Linked DNA regions of Arabidopsis thaliana. The protein of the gene in region 2 interacts with the protein of the main gene of each other region in a pairwise test. Each region holds a gene or a part of one and is shown on either strand. Other genes may lie near its edges.

The links. The genes of interacting proteins can lie anywhere in the genome.
Region 1: the proteins of AT3G42725 (region 2) and MEB2 interact in a two-hybrid assay, tested with the Arabidopsis thaliana proteins (one large-scale study listed by BioGRID).

What each region holds. Positions count from the first base shown.
Region 1 is NC_003076.8:8,262,624-8,267,738, reverse strand, and holds MEB2 (Vacuolar iron transporter (VIT) family protein), read left to right. Parts: upstream 1-1,990; 5' UTR 1,991-2,120; coding exon 2,121-2,349; intron 2,350-2,507; coding exon 2,508-3,170; intron 3,171-3,274; coding exon 3,275-3,328; intron 3,329-3,526; coding exon 3,527-3,706; intron 3,707-3,850; coding exon 3,851-3,912; intron 3,913-4,003; coding exon 4,004-4,468; 3' UTR 4,469-4,607; downstream 4,608-5,115. Other genes in the region: SS1 (Glycogen/starch synthases, ADP-glucose type), read right to left, coding at 1-255, 550-805. UniProt on the Arabidopsis thaliana protein: May sequester excess cytosolic iron and manganese into endoplasmic reticulum to reduce metal ion toxicity. Not essential for the accumulation of ER body components, including PYK10.
Region 2 is NC_003074.8:14,842,339-14,845,345, forward strand, and holds AT3G42725 (Putative membrane lipoprotein), read right to left. Parts: upstream 1,381-3,007; 5' UTR 1,353-1,380; coding exon 744-1,352; 3' UTR 511-743; downstream 1-510.

The sequences.
Region 1 (5,115 bases), on a different chromosome or scaffold from region 2:
AAGCTATCGGCAAAGAACCACAAACATCTCCTAATCCTCCTGTTTTCGAGTAAGGAGCCGCCTCGGATGTAACGAAAACAAGGTTATTGACAACTTCAGCTTTTCCACTCGGAATCCCAACCTCTGCAGCTCCTTCTTCAACAGCTCTATTTCCAGGTACGCCAAAGTCAGCCATTACAATTTGATCAATAGCCTCTTTCTTCTCTTCATGATGTGTAATTTCTCCTGTGCTAGTGCTAACTGTTTGTTGATCACCTGTACAAGGAAAAATCGAGTTCATCTTCGAGATTCTGAGCAAAATCGTGCTACTTTATATCAGAATTTTTTGAATATGAAAGATTCTGAAATTTGAAAAACGTAATAGCTTTGAATCTGAGGACCACAAGCAAAATTCAAGAGAATCATTCACTTTTTACAAATTGAAATCACATTCGATAAACCATCACAAAATCCCTAGATTATGCACAAATCAGAGAATAAATCACTGTTCGTTGAGGAAATTGGAAGAAACACTATGAAGAACTCAATCACGAGTTTAACGACATTTACCAGGAGGAGTGAGCTGAAAGCCAAGAACGGAGCCAGAACCATCTCTCTCTGCGTCTGTGATAAATCTCTCTTCATCAGACTCACGAGAGTCACCGGAGAAGGAAGAAGAACGACGAAGCAACAATGACCGTCCGATACTGAATCTCCGTCGAAAACGAGGAAATCCGAGACTGGCGATCGGACGGAAATGGCGGATCCGGTTGAATCCAACGAACGGCTCGAATTTAACGGAGCCACTGATTTGAAGAGACGCCATTGATCAATTAAAGAGTGAGAGTTTCTTCGACTGTTACAGATTTATGTTTGATTTCGTCTGGTTGTTGGGGAAGATTGAAACCACCTGTGGCCTATCTACTACGTAAAGAATCTCCTTCCAGCTTCGCCGACATGCTTCCAAAACTTTAAAGTTAACCACAGAGAAAGAGTACACTAAAACCTTTATTCTTTGCCAAAACAAATTTTTTTTTTTTGTTTGATATTTTAGTATGAAACAGAATCAATTTTAATTTTATTCCTTAAAACACATTATCATTTCCATAAGAGTCATAACCAACATAAATATGTAAAAATTTCGAACCAACAAAAATAATTTCAATAGTTGCAACAAATATTTTCTGATCTATGCAATTTTTGCCTTTGGTTTTATAAAATTTACTCTCCGATATTTTAATGGTTTTATTGTCCCAAGAGGATCTATCAGAAAAGCGCGAAGATCAAGAACGAGTAAAAAAAAGATCACACACTTCTTGCCGAAATTGGAGCCTCATATTGTGCCACGTGTAAATTAGTGGGCTCCAGTTTATGTGTTCCAGCTTTATGGTGATTTACTTGGATTGGGCTTTTGGTTAATTTTATGGGCCGATTATTGTGAATGAAATATATAGGCCCAAGAAACAAATGTCTAATGGGCTTCATAATAAATAAGAAGTCATTAACTATACACGTTTTGAATATGGTTCGTTGTTTCCAACTAACTGTAACGTTTCCCACTTTCCTCGTCATTATGAGTTATTAAAGAGTTGACTACTAGTATTTTTATCATGTGATATTCATTTTCTGTAGTAATTTATTTTACGTGGTATCATACTATCACAGTTTGTATTTATTTAATCAATATTGCACCTTTCGTATTACTTCTAATATTTTTTAATCATTTAAAATCATTTTTCTAAAACCTTATGGATCAATTTCATGACATATACTGATGACAAAAAGAAGACATATACTATACCACACAATTTTTTTTTTTTGTTTTGAAACTGACATATATTAACATGTTTAAATAGAGTGCTAATTAACTATGACACCTTCCCTAATTACCAAAATCCAAAAGTAATCCTCGTTACGAATATTTAACCCCTCGTGCTTCCCTCGTGGGTATTATTTATGTATATATATAAAAGATCATATGATTGGACACGATAATTAGGAACAACTGTGTTTTTTTTTTAAATTTAAAAAAGAAAAAAGAAGAAAAGAGAGAGAGAGACTCACAAATCATAATATCTCCTTCATTAACTCATAATCACTTTAAAGAACATTGGAATCAGATTCATTACATAGGGATTGATATGGAAAAGTCAAACCAACCAGTTCATGTAACCTTGTCCGAATTGAAGGACGGAGATAAAGAAATCGTTGATGCTGAATTTTTGGTTGATCTTCTTGAGAGCTATAGATTTGGTAAAGATAATGTTCCCGCCCGAGAATTTCGATCCAAGGCGGCAGCGACGGCTCCGGCGCCGGTCAACACCACCGAGATAGAGTTGGAAGAGGATAATGATGGATCTCAAGCTCAAGGTACATTAGTCAACTTGTCAGTTTCTTACATGTTTTTTTGTCTTTTAATTTTTGGTACCTCTACTAATTGGTTAGGATCCTAATTTTTAACCGGACACAAACCTGCTTAACCGGTAGATCAATCTCTCGTTTATTTTTGGTATTAATTGCCATCGTAGGTAACAATTCTGTTAGTGAAAGTACATCATCGCTATTTTCCGATTCAGATCCAATAGTACTTGAGAGTACTGTGAGCGAAACCGGTTCAAACGAAGAATCTGAAACCGGTTCAAACGAAGAAAATGGTAATAATTGGTTAGAGTCGAGCTCCACAAACTTGCCAAATGTAGAGAACAAAAGGCAACGGAATGGAGAAGATTGTGAGATAGAAGAGGAAGAAGAAAATAACGAGAGATCATTATCGGATTCAGAAGAGAAGTCAAACCTAGAGAAGTTGCTTGGGACACAAGAAAACTATGAGCTTGGAAATGAGGATGAAGAAAAGAACGAGAGATCATCGTCAGATTCAGAAGAGAAGTCAAACCTAGAGAATTTGCTTGCGACACAAGAAAACTACGAGCTTTACTGTCCTAGCTGTAGCACATGTATCACCAGAAATGTGGTTCTCAAGAAAAGAAAACGAGGGAAGCACGTTAATTCATCTCTGGATCTGAAACCCGATATACCGGTTGTTGAACCGGACGAACCAAGCGACATTGAGGAGATGGAATCACCAGTTAAGGTTTATGTCCCTGAGACTCGGATTGAGGATGATCAAGAAGATAAAGAGGGAACTATCTTTACTTGCTTGGTTTGTGATCTAAAGTACTTCATCCGGTTAGGTAAATCAAACCTTAATTAAACCGGTTCTGAGTCAATTCTTTCCAGGTTTTCTTGGTTTTGTAAACTTGATGGATCAACCCTGGTTTTATATTTTAAATTTCAGGAACAAAGTTCTTACAACTTGATTATATCAGGGGAAAACCGGTTGAGAAATCAGGTATGTTATCGTGAATTGAAACAAAAATATTACTCCTCTCACCTAAACCGGACTAGACAAATTGATTTCAATTTGGGAAAAAATCAACAACGGTTTCTTTGATCATAAAAAATGTTTATAGGCTTATCTTTGGTATTTGAATATTCGATAGAACTACATATATTTTGTACCCAAAGAAAATTTGCAAACTATATGCAGTTGAAGAATATATAGATGTGAGGAAGAGTATAAACACCACACAATCACCACCACAAATTCAACCGGACGGAGAAAGATTCGCCATTGAGTTGTTAAAGAGCACCGTCTACGGCGGTCTCACTGAGACCATCACCAGCCTCGGCGTTGTATCATCTGCTTCTGCCTCTGGTTCCTCCACCAGTAAGTCTCTAGACTCCATTTTCCTTTTAGTTAGCAAACAAATGCGAGATTAGTTTATCGGCTATCTAATCATCAGATTGGTCCTTGTTATAAATAGTAACACTATATAATAATTTCGTCTATTATTTTTTGTTGTTGTTTCAGTGAATATATTGGCTCTTGCTGTCGCAAATTTGGCCGGTGGGCTCATCGTCCTCGCTCAAAACGTAATTACTTGAACCAAAAAACGTTTTCTCGTGCCACAGATTGCCTATGGGGTTTCTTATTTTAACCGGTTCGGGTTTTTTTTTATTGCAGTTTCAAGATCTAAGAAACAGTTCAGATCAAGAGAAAGATAGGTACGAGGAATTGTTAGGGAGACGTACTAAATCCCGGATACATATCTTAGTAGCGGTCATGTCTTACATTTTCTTCGGCCTAATTCCTCCGTTAGTTTACGCATTTTCCTTCTACGAAACCGGAATCAAGAACTACAAGCTCATCTCGGTTTTCTTGGGTTCTCTGGTTTGCGTAATTTTGCTCGGTTCGATCAAGGTCTATGTCCGAAAACCAACCAATTCATGTGGATCGACTAAAGCTTATCTCAAATCTGCGGCTTATTATACGTCTATTGTTGTTGCTTCTTGCGGAATCTCATACGTTGTCGGAGATATTATGGGAGAGTATATCGAGAAGCTCAGTTTGGTTGGTTTAGACCAGATCAGTATAACTTCACCATGTTATGGAATTAAACCCGAGGAGTGCCGGTTTACTTCCTTTTAATATACAGTGGGACTAAGAACCGGTCTGACCAACGTTGTATAATTTCTGTTCTAATTACTTACTAAATCTCTGTATCTTTTCTAGTAAAAAATCAAAACTAATGCTTTCATAGAATAAATGTGTTTTGAGGTTTTTCTTTAATGATGTCTTATCTCTTTCCGAATGAAATAATCGGAATGATGCGGTTTAACTGCGGATAAGATACAGTAAAATTTAAATAGTAACAAAGATATGGTTTCGTCACCATTCAAACTATGTGTATAACAATGTCAAGCTCCATAGGTATATAAGATTTGTATAATTGTAATTGAGGAGAGATTTTGACATGTTATATTGTTAGCCATATACAACAACTTTTTATATATTTAACCAGTTAGTTAAATCGTTTGATTCATTAAAAAATGAAATTTATTTATTTTTAGTAAAAAAATAAAAGATAAAGATATCTTTTGATCAATAAATACAGTCCACATATATATCAAGTCAACAAAATAAGATCATACTCCCAATTTTTACTCAAAATATAATGTAATTAAATGCTAAAGATATAAATGTAAATACAATGTTTTGGGTAATTTGATGTGACGACAAATAAAAAGAAGAAAGTATTAAGCTGACGTGTGATAAAGGAAGTGCGTGCGCCCGAA
Region 2 (3,007 bases):
TGAAACAGATTAGCCATTTCTTACTGGAAATGGAGTGTCTTGAAGTTGTGAAAGTTGTCATCTCCAATGGATGACCCCCAAAAGGTGCAACTCACAAAGGATCTATTGGAACTTGCCACCGCTTCACCCAAGCTCAAGATATTGAAGAATCTGTTGAAGCTTGCCACCGCTTCACCCAAGCTCAAGATATTGAAGAACCTGTTGAAGCTTGCCACCACCTCACCCAAGGTCAAGATATTGATACGAGATACGGTATCACATACAACCGTAGAGGTTTCCAAAACCCGAGTCCAGTCTTAAAGAGTTTCTAGTTAGGTTTTTGGTGCTTTTCCCTTTTGGATTAGGTTGTTTTTGGTTCTTCTTCTTTTTACATTAGGATGTGTTTGATCGTTGAGCCGAATAATTTGCTTTGAATCTCTGAGATCTTAGGAACAGCTAATGGATCGTAGTATGATGATATTAAGACATCTTTCTTATGGTTATGAAAGAATGCAAAATAAATACATGCATCTTTGTACTAGTGTATGTATGTAAATTACCCACTAATGGTGGATGTACGAGAGAAAAAAATACAAGATCAACCATTACTAGGACAATTCAAGTAGCCATACATATTACTTACAACATTGTAGAAAACCTAACAAAGTTTTGTAACAGCAAATAAATAATTTTCTTAACTAAGACATAAAATATAACTTTGAAGTTTGAACAATAATCACAAACTATAGATTCATAAAAACACTTTAACCTTCGAAATCTGTTTTAACCCACTGAACATGTTTCACATTCATCTTCTCGTCCAACTCCATTTTCTTTAAATCCGAACTAGTCCCATCTTCAGCGGTCGAGACTCTTCGGTTACATTTTCTTCTAAAAGAATCTTCACTCTCAACATCTAACCCTTCGAACTCTCTAACCCAATAACAATGTAACAAACAAGCCAGCACTAGAACCATTATCTGTAACGGAATCATCGCCACGAAAACACCACATTCTACTCTAACCAAAGCTTTAGCCTCTCTAGGGTCTCGAGTCGATATCAGCAAAGAAAGACTCTGTTTCTCTCTACTAAACAACATTAAAACTGCAATAAACTGACCCGTCAGTGAGGAAACATGAAGCGTTATCCGCGCGATGAAACATGATCGAGATTGGTGCGAAGAGGCACTACCGAAAGAGGAGATCAGAGAGACGAGTGAGACTGCGAGGAAGGCTAAACCGAGTGAAGTTGGAGGGTTTCTAAGAAGAATGATTGGTACGAAAGAACAGAGGGAGAGGAGGAGGAGAGTGAAATTCAGACACGATACGAGAATGTTTTGGAACAAACATAACTTTCTGTGAAAAGAAGCCATTGATGTTTTGTGAAATTATGTTTTTTTTGTTTGTTTCAAGTTTTATATAGGTAAAGTAAGAAACTAAGCGCCCGTTGGGGAGAAGATGTAACGGCTATGATGAGGTTTAACGGTTATATTGACATAATGGGCTTCACAAAAGTATTGTAATAGATTTTTGACCTTTAGCCTCACGAAAATGACGGTCGTATATATTTGAATTAGTAATACTATTTTATCATTATTGTTTACATAAATGCCTGAAACTAAATTGCTTTTTTTTTTCTTTTCTTCTCAAAGACCTAAAACTAAATTGCTACTCGAATAGAAATTTGAAAAGGATTATTATTTTTGATATATTTCATGTTGTCCATAAAATACTCTTTTATGTCAATTGTATTTTTTAAGCATCTAAAATATTTAAATTTTTCTTCTTTCTCAATTGCAATATTTTAATATTTTATTTACATATACATAGACTATACCAAAAATCCCAAAAAAGATTATAAAAATATTGAGGTACAATATGAGCTTATAAGATTACTGTTTAACTGCAAAAGAAATTGTGTCTTGACTCCATCCAAACCCACGTGTCAACAACTGCGTGCAAAACAACATGTGTTCGATGAGTAATCGTACGATTTCCAAGATCAACCTTGGTCGTTGGGTATATATTTCGGTAAAAAAATCATCGTCGAAACACAATCGATCATTAATTCTTTTATTTGTCACTGTAGTTAAGCCAATTGAAACTCTAATAAAAAATTAAGAGCTTAAAAACAATAGAATATGCATCTAAAGATTTTTCTTTCCTTCAAACCAAGACACAATCTTTAATAATATAATTAAAACAAAAAAGGTAAACATAAAACAAAGATGTTTGAAGACACCAAAAATAGGACGGTGAAATTTGACACAAGTAATAAAAAATAAGGTTTGTATTAATCAACGGAAAACCATAGATTAGACCATTAGAGCATTCTCATTGCATAATTATTTTTTTAGTGTCTCAAAACCAATATATTTAATATTTTAATATTAAAAGCAAACTAACCATTAAAAAAAAATTTACAGAAGTGGACGAAAAAAGATTTGCTCTCACCGTTTGTCAAAGTGAGAACTGGTTTTTACGGTTTGTCTTTTCATTCAATTTCGGACCAAATTACCTTGGGAAAACTTAATAATGGCACAAACCAAACCGTGCAGCAGTTCGTATCGGTTCAGTTGATGGCATAAACCAAACCCTACAGCAGTTGGTTTCGGTTTAGTTGATGCGGTTCAGTTTTGAAAAAGACAAAACAAAAAAACTGAAACGAAGAAACCGAAGAAAAAGAAAAAGAGAAGAGAGTAACGGAGAGATTTGAGAGAGAATTAGAAAGCGAAACGAAATTCAGTATCCATTGTTTCAAAATTCGACATAACTTCGAATTGTTGGGTAGTTGAATTGAGTCACTGAACTCCCACATCCGGGGAAGAGAAAGTTACTGTTTTTCCCGGCGAAGCCAAGAAAAAGTTACTGTTTATTCCGACGAAATTTGAACCTCCGGCGAGATAGCAACTTTAGCTATGGCTGGGAATAAAGCAAACGAAGAAGTCCCGAGGAAGCAGCATGGTCCAGGGAAGGAGAAGCGGGTATTAAGAGTTTCCCCGCAGAGAAAACGCTCTGCGACAAAGGC